3 linked regions of the Caenorhabditis elegans genome follow. The protein of the gene in region 3 interacts with the protein of the main gene of each other region in a biochemical or structural test. Each region holds a gene or a part of one and is shown on either strand. Other genes may lie near its edges.

Region 1 (4,830 bases), on a different chromosome or scaffold from region 3:
GAGAAATGAAGTTTGATACATGAGTGGAGAAATTAAAATTGTCCACAGTGTTACACCTAACTTGAATGCTTATATATAAACTTTTATTACAGGAATGGTCACACAATGAGTCGTTTATGCCACCACCACAGTCACAGAGTCGAATGCGACGAGCGTTCAGTAATGCTCAACTCACACTTGCCACCACGCTGGGCTTTGGCAGAAATCAGAGTCGAAATAACTTGGGACAAATTAGTGCGTTTTTAGAAAATTTATTTTTTTTTCTTCTGAAATTGTATTTGATTCACTAATTTCAGACGAGAACACGACATTTCTGCAGTCTCCCAGAGTTTCGTGTGATCCAGCAGCTCTCGCAAACATGACGTCAGTCGGCGGATTGCCTGGATGCCAAAGCGAATCTGAATCGACGCCAAAGCGAGGAATTCGGTACGTCAATGCACCCCACAGATTTATCGGAGACAACACGTTTTCGAGATCTGTCCGAAAAGTCAATTTGAAGATCTACGGTTTCAGGATGTGGCACCGTGTCAACTAGAAATACTCGTAGTTTTATCGAAGAAAAACTTAACAATGATGCTCCTTTGTTGTCACGTTTTTCTTCGAGAAAACCACGAAAATTTCTAATTGGCACGGTGCCAGATCCTGAAGCCGTAGATCTTCACATTGTAGATATTCTTTTAGTAGATCTTCTTTTAGTAGATCTTCTTTTCGGCCGGATCTTGAAGGCGTGTTGCCTCATTCATTGACCATATTTTCCCATGAGTTAATGCCAAATTGACACTCTACATCTAACATATCCTGTTAGTTATTTCAGTTCTCGCCTCACCTCGACAACGTTCCTCGGCGGCCGACACAACATACTCGGACGAAACACGTCGATGCGCCGTCAGGCTACCGGATTTGCTCATTCGGAAAAGGAACTACCTCGCTCAAAAACATCTTCATATCGTGTCACCGATATCTGAAACTCCCCGCACCCGTGTAACTGATAACTCGAATCTCTCCTCCGACTGATAAATAATTCGTTCTCACTCTTTTCCGAGCTTCATACCTCCAGATGCTCACCGGTGTATTTTGATGGTTTATTTCTTGCTTGCTCTCAGCTCCCTCCCTCTTACATTTTTCATGTTTTCACCCGTAGTTTTTCATTTCGTTTTTGTAATTACAACAACCGAAACTACCGTAATCACCATCCACAACTACGACCAGATCCTTTGTATCATACTGATTTACCATTTACCACAGGTGTATTTTTCCCCCCAAATCGTCATTATCATCTTCCTGTCCCCGAGGCTTGTGTGACCATTGCTCCTTGACTTTTATTATTTCCCCGAAATCACTTGTATGCCATTCTTATCCGATACCCCTTTCCCCTTTTATTCTCACCATTCATTTGAATGGTCATTCCCCCACAGTAACGTTACGATTACTTTTTTCTTTTTTTTTGAAAATTCAAATTTTATTCTTGTTAGAAAATGCGATAGGGGGTTCAAATGAAATTACACCCTACTTGTCTTTAAGTCTTTGAACTCTCTAAAAACAAAGAAACAAAGATGAGATTAGTGAGAAAAAGGAAACATGGGCGGAGCCTTATAGATGGCCCCTGGAGATTTCATATCTTGGAGCACATGCCGCTTGGCTTTTATTCATTCATTCCGAAACACGTCTTGGCCAGGATCCTGCATATTAGTATATTTTAAATTCAGATTTTTAAATTTTTTTTATCTTCTTAAAATTCGAGCTAATTAATTGTGATTCAGAATCTGGAATACATCATTGAATGATCGATGAGCCAGAGGATATAATAGCAGTTGAAGATGAAGCCGAAAGAAGGTAGGTCTGAAAAGAAAAAATGATTCGAAAGCGAGAAAAAAGATGTGCGTCTTTAATAAGTACAATAACCCGCAGATTCCCGTTATTTCGATAATTTCTCGGATTTTTCCACACATTCTTGCTAGAAAAATATTTTTTGTTCAGAAACAAAACTGAAACTTCTGGTAAAAGTGAATAAAATCGAAGAAAAATGGAAAACGCCGCAGCTGGGTTACTGTACAATTTAAAGGCGCGCACACTTTTCGCGCAGCCTCCAAATTTTATTGGGGAAAATCGCTAAAATTCGCAATTGGATAATAAGAGACTGTTTGAAAAACTTTCTCATACATTTTATCAGTTGATTTGGGGCACGATCGCGCTCCACTGCCAAATTAAAACGCCCCGCCCCTAAACGTTGGGTCTCGTTAGGAATTGGCGGCAAAACTAGAAATTCGAACATTTTCAGTCAATTTTCGCCAGTTTCGTTTTTAGGCTGTTTTTTTAAAATTATTTGTATGTTAAAATTGATGAAATAAAGCTGGTTATAAGTTTGGTTATAAAAAGCTGCGGCAAAAAAAGGGGGAAAATATATTTTAATAGAACGAAGGAAATGCAATGTCTCAATAATATAGTTAGACCCTTCATTTTGTACTCCATTTTTGGTGTCCCCCCGTCCAGAAGGAGACGTCTTCCTTTTCTTCTGCTTCTTCTTCTAATTATGCATCTCCTCTATACTTTTCCTCATCTTTTTTCTTCTTCGTTTTTTTCCTTGGTCCCATCTTTATTCCAATGTTTCTTTGTGTAGTACCACTACCATATGTTGTTCTTTTAATACACTTTCCCTCCTTTCTTGCCTCATTTTTCTTCATATTATAGACATGGTGCATCATGACTTGAAGCATCATGCACCCCCAAAAAAGAAAAAAAAGTAAACTAAGTCGAAAAAGTTTTCGAAAAAGCCCTTTTCCCTGATTCCTATACAAATAGCATTGTGCCAAGTGGACGTTGTTTGGTGGGAAAAAAGGTGCATAGAGAAGGGCGGGGGTCCCGGAGCCGGCTCAATGTTACATCCGTTTCGGAAGAGTTGAAGTAGACAAGGAGAAAGATGAATTTAAGGACTCTTGGGAACTACGCTAGAACACCTTTTCGCTTTTGTTTTCGGAAGTATAAAAAAAAACAGAAAAACTTAAAAAAAATAGAAACTTGATTTAAGCATAATGATTTTTCTGTACACAGAACTGTTATGGGGTTATTCAAGTAGTGTCGGAAAATTAAAAAGTGTAGAAAAATTACGTCACAACCTTATTCAAGTATATAAAAACATGTATTTAAATACATTTGTGACGTCACAAATGTATTTTAATACATTTTGCTACATTACTTGAATAACCCCATTACTCCAAAAATACGGTACCCGGTCTCGGAACGATAATTTTTTTGTTAATTTCAGACTGGTATGCGTCTTTAAAGTGTACTGTAGCCACAAACTTTTCTCATTGCAGATCGATTTTTTAACGCCTGTAACAATGTATATATGGGAAAGAAAAGTATTAAAAATCGATGAAAATTCCGCAGCAACAAATGTTCGAATTTACAGTACTTTTTAAAGGCGCATACCTTTTTGAATTTGAAAAAATTGTCGTGTCGAGACCAAGGACCGTATTATTGAGATAACAATCCGAACGCTTTGGCATCGGGGCTCCGGGAGCTTACCTGAAACCTTTCATCATCTGGAAGAAAACCTAAACTTTCCCGTTTTCCTTTCTGGAAGAACAATATTTCCGAACAGTTGCTTCATTGTTTATAGTTTTGGAAAATAATATTATAAGTTGCCGTATCTTTTTGTTTTCTTTCAACAAAAGATTCAATAGATTTGATTTAGGGTTGTCATACTATTTTCTACCATACGGTACCTACAGGCTTCACCCAAGTAATTAGAATTTTCGCATTCCTCTAAGCTTGGCTACATTTTTTTGTGAAGGCATTTTACAGGCGAGTGACGGGTGACATTCTGTCGCGCCTCAGTAGAACGCGAAGACGGGTGTTTCCACCTGAACCTTCTCACCCAATATGTAACTAACTTCTCAAAAACCAATCCTGGCTTCCACAGGACATCGATTCTCACCAGTTTCTCACCCGTATCAATCGGATAAATCTGGTCTTTTCTTCTTCTTCTTCTCAAGATGCTACTAGCCACCAACACAGAGCACGCCTACTCTTCCTCTCCGTCCGTCTACTCCGCGGCAGCTCCTCCGCCGCCAACTCCTTTTCTTTTCTTCATCTGCTACTTCTTCTTCTTCTTTTCGTCTTTCTGCTCCAACGCAAGACGATAGCTCAATTATCCACAAACACACACACACACATGGAGAGAAATACACACACACAAATGCATCACATTCGCACTCCGGGGAGGAATAGAAAAATAGACGTCGTGTACTTCCAGATTCTGGTTTTTTCTGATTTATGACAATTTTTTCCATTTCTGTCGTACAGTATTTTGTTTAACATTTTTTAAAAATATCTATATGCTGTCAGCACTTTTCATTCCGCCTCCAAGTTTAATAATTCCCCAAAGAACTTTTATCAATTATCCCTAGAAATTTGTTCTCTACAACTAATGTCGGCGTAACAGTCATGCGTAGGCGTTTTCGGCGTGAGGCAGGCAGAGGTCACCTTCAGGTTTGCCCTAATTTTGGATTTTTTGGCCTATTTTTCGAATTGCTTTTTTCCAACAAATGGATAGTTTTCAAAATGTGAATTTTAAGTAAAGATTTTTTTGAAAAAAAAAGAAGCTGGTCGCCTCGATGATTTGAGACCTTGGATAATCAGCTCGAAACTGGTAGATTATGTTTCGATATGAGTTCGGTTATGGATGGTTACTGTACACTATTGCTGGAAAACCGGACGTACACTTTACGTACACCAAAATCATGCCAGTCTTACTGTACACATTTTCAATATTCCAGAACATTTTTTTCTTAAAATGCACACAATTCTACTGAAACTTCTTGGAAGACG
Region 2 (7,900 bases), on a different chromosome or scaffold from region 3:
TTTTCTGGGAAGAACAACAACTCGTCTGAAATATTTTAAAATTATATTGGGAGTTATTTCGAAAAACTATGTCAAAAATGTTAGAGTCTACCGTGTTATATAAAATTGGAACTTTTGAAGTCAGAGAAATTCAGACGAAAGTTTTTAAATTTCCAGTGCCTCACACTTTTCACTTTTTTCCAACTTAAGAAACAAGTTCTTTTGGTGTGGTTTTGAATTTTATTTTTTTCTTGAAAATGTTTAAAAAAGCTATATATCTTTACAAAATACAAAAATTTCTTTGTATGTTTATAGTGGAAAAACTCACTGTTTTCTAATTCCACCGCCACTACTTCCACTGGTTGTACTTCCTTCTCTTCTCTGTTGCTGCAATTGAGCTGGTGGGAATGGTGAAGCCGGCATTGATGCATATCCACTTACCTGTTTATATATTTTTCAAATAATATATTTCTCACTTTGCAATGTTCGTGTGGTGTGAAATATAACAACATTCTTTTGATTCAGAATATTATTTATTATTCTGTCATTCTTGTGGGTGGCAACATTGGACTGATACATTTACATGCTACTGAGAAATGAGGGGGCGAGAAAATAACAATGATATCGAATATAAACAATAATTTTAGGGCAAATGCAATAGAAAACAAGACGTTTTTTTTCTTAGTATAGGGTGCATCTATTTCAGACAAGGATGTGGGGAACTCGTGAAGAAGATCGCAATTCGTGTGAATTTGAGAAGGAAATGCAACAAAAAATCGACGGACAGATTCAAAAATAGAATAATCAAATAAAGGAAAAACATCCAAAATTACAATCACCGGGAACATATGAAATTTTGATTCATGATTGGAGACTTAGAAGTTACAAAATATTAAATTAGAACTTATTGTAATACCGGGTACATGGTGTACTGTGAGAGAAACTATTTTGAATTATGCCATTTTGGCATTGATTACCAGACATAATGAAACATAAACATGAAGAAAAATGATGACATTCTAAATGTGCATTACATACATGCGCGATTCGCCGTCGCTTACCATTGACGGAGCCATCCCTTTAAAAGCTCCAGGAGGGCCAGCCATACCTCCAGGTAAATGTGGGGGTGGGAGCATCACAGAGCTTCCGTTGCCAGCAGACATTCCGTTCATTCCGATGGTCCATTGGTATTTGGGTCCACCATCTTCATTTCGGAATCGGGCATAGTCTGGAAGTAATTTAGAAGATATAACAAGAAGGGTTGAATTTCATGTTTTGAATCAGGCAGGGCAGCCTTGAATGCAACCAACTTTTTTGCATTCCTATGGAGATTACAGGCAGACATTTTTGTGCATCAGTGAAAAATTTGTTTTAAAAATATAATTTGAAAAAAATAATTTTTTAAAACAAATTTTTAACATTTCAGTTCAAAAAAATTGCATTAAAGATTTCAAAAGACCCACTTCCATCTTCATATACAAAAACTTTGACATTTTCCGAATAAATGTATACTTTCCTACCTGAACACTCATCTCCAAGGACATAATAGCACTGCTCAGTGAATGTGACCTTGTTCACCACATGTGCAATATACTTTAATTTCAGTAAATCCGCCGCAAAGTTTCGTGCTGTCTTCCGTTCTCGAAGCCCTTCAACATGATCCAAAAGCCATTCGACCAGATCAGATCCTAAAATTGAGAATTAGAATAGGCTCTACACGTTCATTCAAAACTTACCCAAGAACGACATGGGAATCGGAATTTTGAGCCATGTTCGATTTTTGATATCAAGACCAGAGCCAGGCATAGCCATTATTTCGACAACCTTCTTTTTGTCAGTGTGTATATCAAGAATAATATGAGCTCCGCCGCCGACTACTGTATTTTGACCATTTGATCCGTTTGAGGTCACCGTTGAGCTGCTTGGCGGTCGACCATGAGGCCATTCACCAGGAATTGGTGTCGGTGCACTTTCTGGAAAAAATTTTTTAATTAATAGATATTTGTAGGAGAATAACGTAGAAGAAGAACAAAAAACAACATCGAGGCTGTCTTCCTGCCTGCCTACCTGTTTTCAAAATTTTGGTGCAGAAAAAAGGTTTGACTTAATTTTACATTCAGCCTTCAAAATTAGAGATGTGAAAAATTTCATATTTTTATTTTTGTTTCAAAAAAAAATTGAAAATTCCAAAAAGCTTTCCAAATGTTGTTCTACTTTAAAATATCCTAAAACATCAGAAGTCTGAAAAACATCAACTTGAAAGTAGCGAAGAAATGCACTGAATAAATTTCAGCCTGAAGTTGAATAGGTTGAGAGTGCAGCTTATAATTTTGCAAAAAATAAAAAGATCAATCAAATAACAGGCAGGTATTTTGTTTAGTTTTTCTACACTTCCAATCAAAAAACCATACCTTCAACTATACTTGGCATTCCTCTCATTGCATTCGTATGCTGGATCCATGCTTGAGTATCGATTGGTCTCACAGGCTCTTCTCTGCTATTCCTTGGTATTGTGAAACAACTTTGCCCATTTTCAAAACTTTTCGCCACAGTTAATTTGATGGGGCCACGACGGCTAACAGCTTCTCTGAAAATTCATATGTTGAAGAATAAGCTCTCAGTAAAAAATAATAATTTTTACCGTAACACATCAACAGCTTGATCGTTAGTGAAATTCTCAAAGCTGGTCTCATTGACTTGTAAAATCATATCACCAGCTTCAATTCTTCCATCCAATGCCACTGCACCTCCCTTCATGATATTTGCTACGTAGATTCCATTATCACCACAATTAGAAGTTTGACCAACAATTGAAATGCCAAGGAAATTGACTGTATCCATATTGAGGTTCACTGTTATTACATCAAGGCTCATAGAGGACTCTGGAATTCGAATGGTAAAAGTTATGCTAATTTCGAAGAGGTCATACCTGTGATACTTGAAAACGAAGATGCTCTAGAGGGTTTTCGGAAATTTCTTTTATTCTTCTTTTTCTTTGCCATTTTTTCATGTTGTCGGGATACTGATGTGAAATCGGTTGTTGTAGAGCCTCTGAAAAATTGAACGTTTTATAGTTGAAATTGTTATAGATTTTTCAGAATTTTCAGTCCAACTTTTGAAAATTGAGTCTTATTGAGAAACTTAAAGAAGCTTTGCATATTCGATGCCCCACAAAATAAATACAAATGATTTTAAAATTTAAAAAAAAACTGTAGAAATTTTTTAAAATCGAATTATTAATTTATGATAAGCGAAAACTGGTTAATTTCCATTTTGGACTGTAAATAAAAATTTCATAATTTTTTGAAAATCTTACTGTGGTTTTCAGTGATTTTTGCAACTCGTGAGTAACTTTGAACGTTATCAACTAAAATTTTACATGGTTTTCACTAGCTAAAAAAGGAAAACTAATGAGAATTGTGTTCCGTGAAATTCTAAATATAAGCGGAGCACTGCACAAAACAAAATGTTCAAATTCCTTAAAGTTACAACCTAGAAGTTTGTTCCACAAAATCCGAAAAGAACTGAAAGATTTATCGAAAGCAATTATCCACTTCTCATCCATCTCTTTCCACCCGTTCTCACGTCCTTTTCTTCCCCTCCCCAATTTTTATTAGTTTCCTTCAAATAGTGCACAACACTAAGAGCTTGTTGTGATAGTCACTACCAGGCTTTAGCTAGAAGATAAGCGCCAAGCAGGAATTGCTCAAATTTAACGAGCTGTGTCTTATCGCAGAATAAATGAACTGACACGTCGCGAGTTGTGGCACCCGTGCTGCTCGGCGGAGCTGTTCCAATTGCATAGTAATAATCAGAAGTTGAAGTGGAAGTTGTTGAATAATAGGCTTTACCATCAGAGCTTGCGAAATCATCGTCAGTTATGTAGCCGCTCATTTCACTATTTGAGGAGCGGAAGGGCGAAATCATTGGGGGCAGAGTGAGCGGGGATGAAGGCCCGCTTTAAGCCTAGTCATTTGTCACTTTATGTGACAGACAGAGAAGACACAAAAAAAGGTATTAACTATTTGAGAGGCAAAATGAAAACCATCGAATTTTTGAAAATATTTAAAATTTAAAATTTCAAAGGGGTATTGCCTATTCGTAAACTTGGTTTTGTTTTTATGAGTTGTTATATTTTGAATGTAAATTTTTTTCAATGTTGCATATTCCTTGAGATAGCCCTGCAAGACCTGAATGTAGCCCTATTATAACTTAAACTTTTGCTTTAATTTTTTATAAATAAAAATTTGCCGAATAAAATACACTAAATTTTGAAAGGAACACTGTCACCAGAGTACTGGCTTTACATAAAAATTCAATGAAATGAAACCTATGTTTATAAAATTAAAAAAAAAAACATACCTATCATCATCATCTGAAAATACTCTTGCATCGGATTCGGAGCCAATTGTTGATTCTTCGAGATGTCGTCGGTGCCCTGGAATTTAAGAAAACTTAGAATTCGATGCTTTTTCAAATTTTCATAAGATTTTGTTTTTTGAACCTATTACCCTTTACTTGATCACATCATTTTTCGCCATCATTTACCTACCGATCAAATAAAACGATGCATCTGCACTAAGTTCAGAGGTTAAGGATAGATGTGACGTCCTATGTAGAAATCCAATAAGATGTCTTCTCGGCGAAGCATCCGGTGCAACATCTTTCCTTCCTTGATAAGTACTTGTTGTATTTGATCCGCCGTACCTTCGCATTCTGCGCTTCTGTGCTCGATCCGCTCTCTCCTCTTCCACCATTGCCGCTGTACTTGCTGTTTCTTCCTCATAAAGTGGCGGAAGCGATGGACTAGTTGGAATCAGTGACATTGTACGGCTCATTGTGCTTCTTCGTGAAACAAGAGGTCGGCAATCAGATGATAGACCACTTCCATCTACAGTGACCGGCCGACACCTATCGATTCGGTTCAAACTTCGACTTTCAGATATAGTAATACTAGGAATAATAGGTGGACGATCGGTGGTTATTTGACACGTTTTGGATTTTCTGAGCTCCCTAGATGGCGGAGCAAGTGAAACAGGGGAATCAGGAGCCGCAAGGGAAAAAGTTGGTCTGGCTAATGCTGCAGCTGGTGCAATGAGATCCGGTGGTGGTGGCTGAGGTGGGCTCAGATTCTCTTTGAATTCTTTAGTATTAGATCGAGAACTTGATGGTGATGGAGATGCAGACCGAGATTTTGAACCACCAAGTGAAGTTAAAGACGTTAAACTTGCAGCCGAGTGGGACAATCTGATAAGAGCTCCAAAAAACGATGAAGAGGCGGAACCACCACCGGACTCTTTTCCGTTGGCGCCTCCTGCACTTTTTTCGCTTTGTTTCCGTCGTTGTAAAAATCTGCGCTTCGTTGTCGTCTTAGTATTATCCCCCTCTTCGTCGTTACAATCATCTGATGCTTTGCTGGTGCCGGGAAACAGGAGAGCCCCCTCGCTGAGCCGTTTTTTAAGTGGACCACCGAGCGCATTTGAGACCATCTGTCGCCATGTGGATCCGGCAGGTGTATGATTATTTGTGAGATCAGTTAAAGTCCGTTTTAATCGAAATGGTGCCTCAGACTCCGGCTCCACACGACTTTTACTTCTGCTCTTCTTCAACTTTTTCCCCGTACTTGGTTGCTGCTGGCTTCCTGAATTTTCCTTATCATCAGAAGCTTTGGAGGAAGGGAGAATGTTGTTCAGAATTTTCAAATTTCCTAATGGATTTCCTGTATATTTCTTCCTTCTTGGACTTTTTACAACTTCCGAGACGATAGTTTTCTCATCATCAACCAAATCAAGATCATCAATCTTAGCAAGTGGTGGAGCCTTTTTCTTCTTTTTTGGTCTTGACGATGTATTTGTAGGTGACGTTTTCAACTCAATCTTGTTAATCAATTGTGATACAACTCCCGGCGAGTGTTGTCGATTTGGTGGAGGAGCCGTGTATGTCGAACGGACTTTTCGTTCTTTTGAAGTGAATAATAATGAGCGAATCATATCAGATGAAGTGGATGGGGTATTTGAGGAGCCAGAAGGAGATGGAAGGGCTCTATCTCGAGCTCCAAGCTTGATACTCATTGCTCGCTAGTGAGCTATGAGCAATCGTGTCGTTCTCTAGAAAATCGGTTTTAAGTTTTTGATAGTAATAGAGCTGGGAAGTAATAAAAAAGCTTGAAGGTAATAAAAAGAAGAGAAAGAAACGAGAAACACACCTCGATGGGGGGTCATAAATTTCCCAGCATCCCATCTTGTGGCTCATGATGCACTTGGATTAGAAACAGATACTTTCGTTTTACTTTTATCATGTGCTGGGAATTTAGAGAGAAACTGAGAATTTAATAGTCGACACATCGGGAAAGTTGGTACTCAAAATAATCCTGTTGACACCATAAACACTGTCGTTAAACTTTAATCGGACTTGACATATGTCATGTTAAATCTCAATTGACTCGACTATGATAGTGACATCTAAAATTGATAAATTCCTATATAATGAGAAATGCAAAGATTGAGATATTATAATTTTAATATAATATAATTGGTCTATGAGTTTGTTAAGATTCAAGCCATAACAGTAGAAAAATTTAAAAAAAACTCAAGTTTTTATACGCTTAAATCTCGATGTTATTTTGAAAGACAAATGTTTGCTTTCATTTAACTTTTATTTAATTAATCGTTAACATTCACTGATACATCTAATAAAATTAAAATTATAGTTCAATACGTTTCGGTCGAAACTATGTGGCTATCAATTAATAAGATTTTCCCCGTTTCGCAAAAGAGCTTCAGAATAAGTGTTACCATTTCTCAACTAACAAATTTCTTCAACTGGTGGGCTGGAAAATGGCACATGACAACTAAAACCAAGAGCTCACTATCAGTTATTTATATCAACAAATTGCAACTTGACTTATGGCTCACAGTCAAACACCGCAGAGATCCAGAGGAAAACACAATTTGCTATGGTCAGATTAAATGGCAGTTGCTTAAAGAATATTGATCGAAAATTTTTCATCATGACTAGTTGAACAAAGAGTTGCAAATTGATCTCACTGAAACATGTTGCAATGGCTCTTGATGATGACGAAGTATAAAATCAAATGTTTGAATCCACCTACACACATGGGCTAGCAAACATTGATCGGAGGCAGGAAAAGCGGATAAAGCATAGAAAAGATCATTATCAAACTGTCTTTTCTCCCCAAAATCCCGATAGGTATCATGATAGAAATCACAAGTGAGGGATATCCGAAAGTAAATAAAACCACAGATCTCACTATTATAAGGCAGATATCTATTTTCGTGTTAACGAGAATGAGAGCAATATTATGAGATCCTGGGGTGGGTACTAGAGACTATTTCGACACAAAAACGATAATAGTGACAAGTAGAAACATACACAGAAATCGACAAGTGAGCGGACAAAAAAAACTAACTAAAAGTGGGGTGAAGTGGTATGAGGTCTCGAGAAGAGTGTTCAAGTGGAGAGAGAGACAGAAGGAAAGCATCTTGATAAACACTGTGATAAACTCATCGGTCTTCGGGTTTTCATTCCCACTGACGTCGAGCACAGAGATATAGAGAACGGTTTCTCACAAAAAGTGGTGGAGCAAGCAAGGAGCCCGGTTGACCCCCTAACAGAGAAGTTCAAGGACTAATGTTACAAAAGATCGAGAATTGGATGTCAAAGAACATATTTTTCCAATTAACAATGCTTACAAATTCTACCGTACACTACAGTTCTTAAGGTCGCAAAGAGATATTTTTGGTATCTGGTTAATAATTTTTTATTCTCTAATGTCGAAGCTAAACTAAACTAGCTGTGACTTGTTCGCAATTTACCATTTTCAGATGTCATTGTCAGATATTTCAGAACAAAAATTTTTGAAATAAAACAGCTGGGTAGCCTTTCAATGCAACTAGATATC
Region 3 (5,205 bases):
AAATAATTAATTTCTCATATTTATTAAGCGGGTTTCTATATTTTTTTGTTCACGCTGAAAAACATTTCAAAATAAAAAAAGCTAATAAATCGTTCCAAAAAAATGTATTTCCTATATCTTCGAATCTAAAAAATGACGTCTTCTTCCGTTCAACAATCGATTGAAATTCGTGTTAATTGGAATGAAATTCCAACAATTGAGCAAAAAATTTTGGAGGCGCTGAAAGGAATAAAAACTCGAAATATCCGAGAGACGAATGTAGTTTTGTTCAAGAAAAATGAGGTATGTTTCCACTTTCTCATTCCTTTCCAAATAATTGTTTTCCAGGAAATTCATGTGAGAATCGAATTGAAGCCAATGGAATTCCCTGACACAAATCGTTGCAAAGCGGTTCAAGCGAACACCATTCCGTTGGTTGGTGACCATCGACTCGGATGTACCGGAATTCAGTATCGACAGGAGAAGGCAGCGAAACGTGGAAAGAAGGCTCGCATGTCGACCGGCGTTCAGACAGTCTCCACAAAGAATCAATGACCAAGAGTACTTCTTTTATCCGGTTACGCGATTGATAAAGAGATATAATAGGGGGAGGAATAAAGAGAAAAGAGAGAGACAACATAGTACAATAGGCAATGTAAAATCAATGTGAGTGGATTAGGAGACCCTAGTTAAAATGAAATAGGAATGATAATCAGGTGAAAAAAAGGATAAAATAATGATTTGATTGAGAGATCGAAAAGAAAACGGGGCTTATGTTCCAGCTTCCAGCAGGAAATTAGATGAGAGTGATCTTATCTTCGGCAATCATTGCAGCGTTATCGTTTTCCAATTGTTCGTATCCAGCCTTCAGCTCATCCTCAGTGAACTTGTGTGATCCGGCTTGAGTTTGAACACCTGAAAACATTTTTGTAATAAACATTTTTAATGAAACATTTGCTTACTGTCTGTGATAATTTGAAGTTCAACCATATCGTCGGTGCTTCCAATGTCGTCGAACGCCTTTCTGACGTACTTCCGAAGCTCCTTATAACGATCAACTCCGATGGCAGCCGGTCCAGTACGTGCTTTCTTAGCAGTTGGCTGACTTTCTCCAATGGTAGTATCCATCATAGAATCCTGGCTATCATCATCTTCAGCACGCCTTCTGACTCCACGACGCGGGGTGGCTGCAGTCGGAACGGAGCTAGATTGAGGCTCTTCCGATGTTGCCATGTCCTCGTTATCGCTCTGATCCTCATCATCGTCACCATCAATTCGTGGAGCTCGCTTCTTCTTCTCATACTCTTGACGAGCCTTTGGCTTCTCCTTGAAACAGGCAAAGTGGAGCAGATTGTAAGCTTTCTCAGTATCCTCTCGTTCGACTTTTTTCGAGAATCTTGCCTTCGCGATAGCAGTTGACAAACGAATCAATGTTTCGAGTTGACGAGCGGTGACAGGCATTGTTCGTTCTTGATCAGTTTTGGTGATATCAAATGAACGAATATCGGCATATACTTCAGAAATGTACTCAGTAGCTTCATCGGTGAGTTTTGGTTGAACTGATCTTGCCAAATGGATGTACTTTCTCATGAAGTCCATTGTCAGGATTTTCGTGCTGAAATAGAGAAATTAATTAATTTATATTGTTTTTTTATAAAAGAAACTCACTCTTGAATACCAGCCCATTGGGTATTTTCCTCATAGATCGAGCTGCTCGCCTTCTTAGTCTCCATATTGATTGTACTGATCGTCTCAACACCTCCACCCATCGGAAGAACAGTTCCATCGGCTTCACCTTGGGTTCTGTAAGTGTGAAGCTTGAGCACATGTTCAGCGACATTAGCGTCCTTGTCCGCATCATGCTCATCAAGAAGTACAAAGATCAAATCGAAACGCGAGAGGAGTGAATCTTGCATTCCGATGTTTTCCATTGGAGATTTGAATGGATTGTATCGTCCGTACACCGGATTTGCTGCAGCCAGAACCGAGCAACGAGCATTCAGCTTCGCGTGGATTCCAGCCTTCGAAATTGTGACACGTCCCTGTTCCATAACTTCGTGGATTGCAGTTCTATCAATATCAGACATCTTGTCAAATTCATCAATACAAACGACACCACGATCGGCGAGAACCATTGCTCCAGCTTCAAGACGACGTTCTCCCGAATCAGGATCAGTAGTAACAGCAGCAGTAAGTCCAACACCCGAAGATCCACGTCCAGTTGTGGTGATAGCTCTTGGGGCCATACGAAGAACATATCGAAGCAGTTGAGACTTGGCAACAGATGGATCTCCGATGAGAAGAACATTGATATCTCCCCTCAAACGAGAACCATTGTTCAGAATCTTTTCCATTCCACCTAGCAACAAACAGAGCAACGCTTTCTTTGTCTCTTCGTGGCCGCAAATTGATGGAGCAAGTGACCGAGCGAGCAGCTCAAATGGGTTTCTTGACTTTGAAATTTTACGAACATCTTTAACATCTTGTGGCTCAAAGTTTGGAATAACCTCCTTTGAAAGCATTTGAATATGATTAATGATGATGATCGAACGGAAGGATCCAGACGAAACTCCATTCTGCTTATTCGGCAGAACACGGAAGACTCCAATGATGCGGACACGATCTCCAGGCTTGACGCGATCTGCCAAATCAAGATCAGCAACACAATCGACGGCCCGAGGAAGTTGACCGGCTGGTGCGGATTCTGGAAGCTCTTGAATTGTGAACGTTTGATGATCCTTGTAAACTGAATGTCCGAATTCTGTTTCAAGAGGATTCTTATTTTCATCTTCTGTTGGATAGTTGTTATTGGTGACTGCAGTGTCGAGCATAGTGAAATCGGCAAATTTCTTCTCGAGCACTTTATTTGTTGCTGGACAATAGTGGACAGAAGTGAGAAGTTTTTGACGAACAGTTGAACACTTTGTGACGATTCCCTCACAGCAGACAAGGTTTCCAAGATATGATGATTTGAGAGTACGTGGATTGACGTGGCGCTCTCCGAAAGTTCCTTCAAAGCCGACGTGGAATCCACTGAAAATACAAATTGTTTAAAAACAAAAACGGCTTTTAAAAGCTACTCACGTTTTGACAACAGCTTGAACATCACTACGATTAATAGCCATTTGAAGTGCAGATTGTAAGCAATTCATCTCAAGAACGCTTTGGGTCAATAGCCTGAAAACTTTAATACTCGGGAATTCTTTATTTTTTATTAATTACCCTTCAGCTCTTTCTGGTAGAATTTCCCTGATTTCATCGAGATTCATCACCAAACGACTTTCTCCATCATTCATCATTTTCACAATTTTCTGACGATAGTGAAAAGTGTCGGCTTGATTGTCCAAAAAGTTGAGATACTGCTCCGTGATTTCTTGTTTTCGAGCATCCTCGGCACGATCAATGAACATTCCATCAGCTTGTCCGTCCATTTTTTCTGAAAATAAGATGTTTTTAACAAAAGAAACTTAAAATTAAAAAATAAACGAATAGAAACTAGAAAGCACGGAGAAGAGCGGGGAAAATAGAAAAATTCGGCCCAAATTCGCGCATTTCTCATTCAAACAGCAAGGTTTCGCGCGCTCGCTCCGTAAACACCATGACGCAACGCTGCACTCAATGCACCTGAAAGTGATGTTTGAACATGTTTATTTTAAATAGCTATTAATAGCGAAATAATTTTATTTAAATAAAAATGCCTGGAATAAAATGAAAATTGTCTGAAATTATCAGTTCAAAATTGTCATTTCAAGTTTCAAAAAACATCAATAACATTTGTGCCCGTGATCTATGCAAAAGATCTCTTCCAAAAATCTCCTCAATTTTTCATAACAAATCACAAAAATGGAATCTATTGTTTCAGTACTCACAAACTCACAGACACAGATGCTTTTCCATTCTATTCATCCCATCTTTCTTATTTTCTCCCTGCCTCCCCCAGGACGCACCTTTCGTAATACATTTATACATAGAAATGGGAAGAAAGTGGTCACAAAAGCACACATATACACAAAATTTATGCCGTAAAGCTTTAAGTGCTTTGACTTTGTCTCCTAGAAACTTGAGCGCACCGCGTGCTGGAAACCATTGGAAACCGTTTGAAACAACATCTATCGGACCCTCCCGCCGCCGCTCGGGCCTTCACTCATTCATTCATTCACAAAGCTATTTTTTCTGTGCTTTTTCGTTTTATATTCGCAATACGATACGAATACGAAACCATGAAACTTCTACTCGCAATCTCGATTCTGGTACTCTGGATTTCAGAGACAGGTGAGAATTGAATCTAGATTTATAACAGGACTGGCGAAATTTTGAACGTGTTGCCTCCAAGAGTACTGTACCGGGTCTCGAAACGACTTTTTTAAGACAAAATCTATTAGCTTACTATTCTTCAAACGAGTGTGCACCTTTAAGGAGTACTGTAGTATTCAGATTGTTTCCGGGTTTTCTTTATTTAGTTGCTATAGTTTTTTCTTCCGTTTTTTAAGTATCAAAAAATGATAATTACACAAGTGAAATTACTTGAGAATGAAACAATTTTTAGAAAACAGGAGAAAACTGTTCTGAGAAAAGTTAGAAACTACCGTACTCTTCAAAGGCGCAAACACTTTTGCAAATTTAATAATGGGTAGTGTCGAGATCTGATCTAAGGGGCTTGGTGTGCGCCTTTAAGAGGTACAGTTTTTCCAGGGTTCAAAAATGTTTATTTGAAAACTAAGTTGAAAATAAACCGAAAAATCTGAAAAAAAAAGTCGTTACTGTACCGCTTAAAGGCGCGTACCTTTCACGATTTGCAAATATTTCTTTCGTGGCGAGACCTTGGAGCTTTGGAACATTGACTTTTTTTCAGAATCCACAACATGCTTCGTCCAAAATAGTATTCTCAATGCGTTCACTCAAGTCTGCCCGGGAAACATCTACACCTGCATGAAGTTCGACTGTAAAGTGAACAATCCGAAGAAATGTGAGTTTTAAGCCTGGAAATTATCTGTAAAATCTGAATTTTCAGTCCGTCAGACCACTAAAGGATGTAATGATCCTGGAAATGCCCTGGTCGCCTGTACTCAGCTTATGGTAAGTAAAAATAAATTTATATATTTTTTCGTGCAAAAATTAATTTCCAGACGCAATGCCAAGCCCAAGGTGGAACCGGACAATGCTACACTTGCAATGGAGATTACTGTAATTCCAGTCCAACGAGCTTCTCGATTCTCATCTCCATCG

Evidence for each region.
Region 1: the proteins of mcm-3 (region 3) and mpz-1 form a complex in vitro, tested with the Caenorhabditis elegans proteins (one study listed by BioGRID).
Region 2: the proteins of mcm-3 (region 3) and dsh-1 form a complex in vitro, tested with the Caenorhabditis elegans proteins (one study listed by BioGRID).

What each region holds. Positions count from the first base shown.
Region 1 is NC_003280.10:10,775,077-10,779,906, reverse strand, and holds the start of mpz-1 (PDZ domain-containing protein), read left to right. Parts: upstream 1-1,780; coding exon 1,781-1,833; intron 1,834-4,830. Other genes in the region: ect-2 (Protein ECT2), read left to right, coding at 93-234, 297-426, 815-965.
Region 2 is NC_003280.10:5,214,625-5,222,524, forward strand, and holds the start of dsh-1 (DiSHevelled related), read right to left. Parts: upstream 6,051-7,900; coding exon 4,532-6,050; intron 4,418-4,531; coding exon 4,342-4,417; intron 4,044-4,341; exon of another isoform or gene 3,840-4,043; intron 3,031-3,839; coding exon 2,909-3,030; intron 2,862-2,908; coding exon 2,621-2,861; intron 2,567-2,620; coding exon 2,391-2,566; intron 1,953-2,390; coding exon 1,716-1,952; intron 1,668-1,715; coding exon 1,500-1,667; intron 1,208-1,499; coding exon 1,041-1,207; coding exon of another isoform or gene 999-1,040; exon of another isoform or gene 496-998; intron 421-495; coding exon 308-420; intron 26-307; coding exon 1-25.
Region 3 is NC_003283.11:15,056,185-15,061,389, forward strand, and holds mcm-3 (DNA replication licensing factor MCM3), read right to left. Parts: upstream 3,416-5,205; 5' UTR 3,411-3,415; coding exon 3,202-3,410; intron 3,157-3,201; coding exon 3,064-3,156; intron 3,013-3,063; coding exon 1,648-3,012; intron 1,595-1,647; coding exon 942-1,594; intron 895-941; coding exon 776-894; 3' UTR 535-775; downstream 1-534. Other genes in the region: C25D7.16 (40S ribosomal protein S20), read left to right, coding at 133-282, 328-534; nssp-71 (neuronal small secreted protein), read left to right, coding at 4,200-4,251, 4,832-4,945, 4,991-5,055, 5,106-5,205.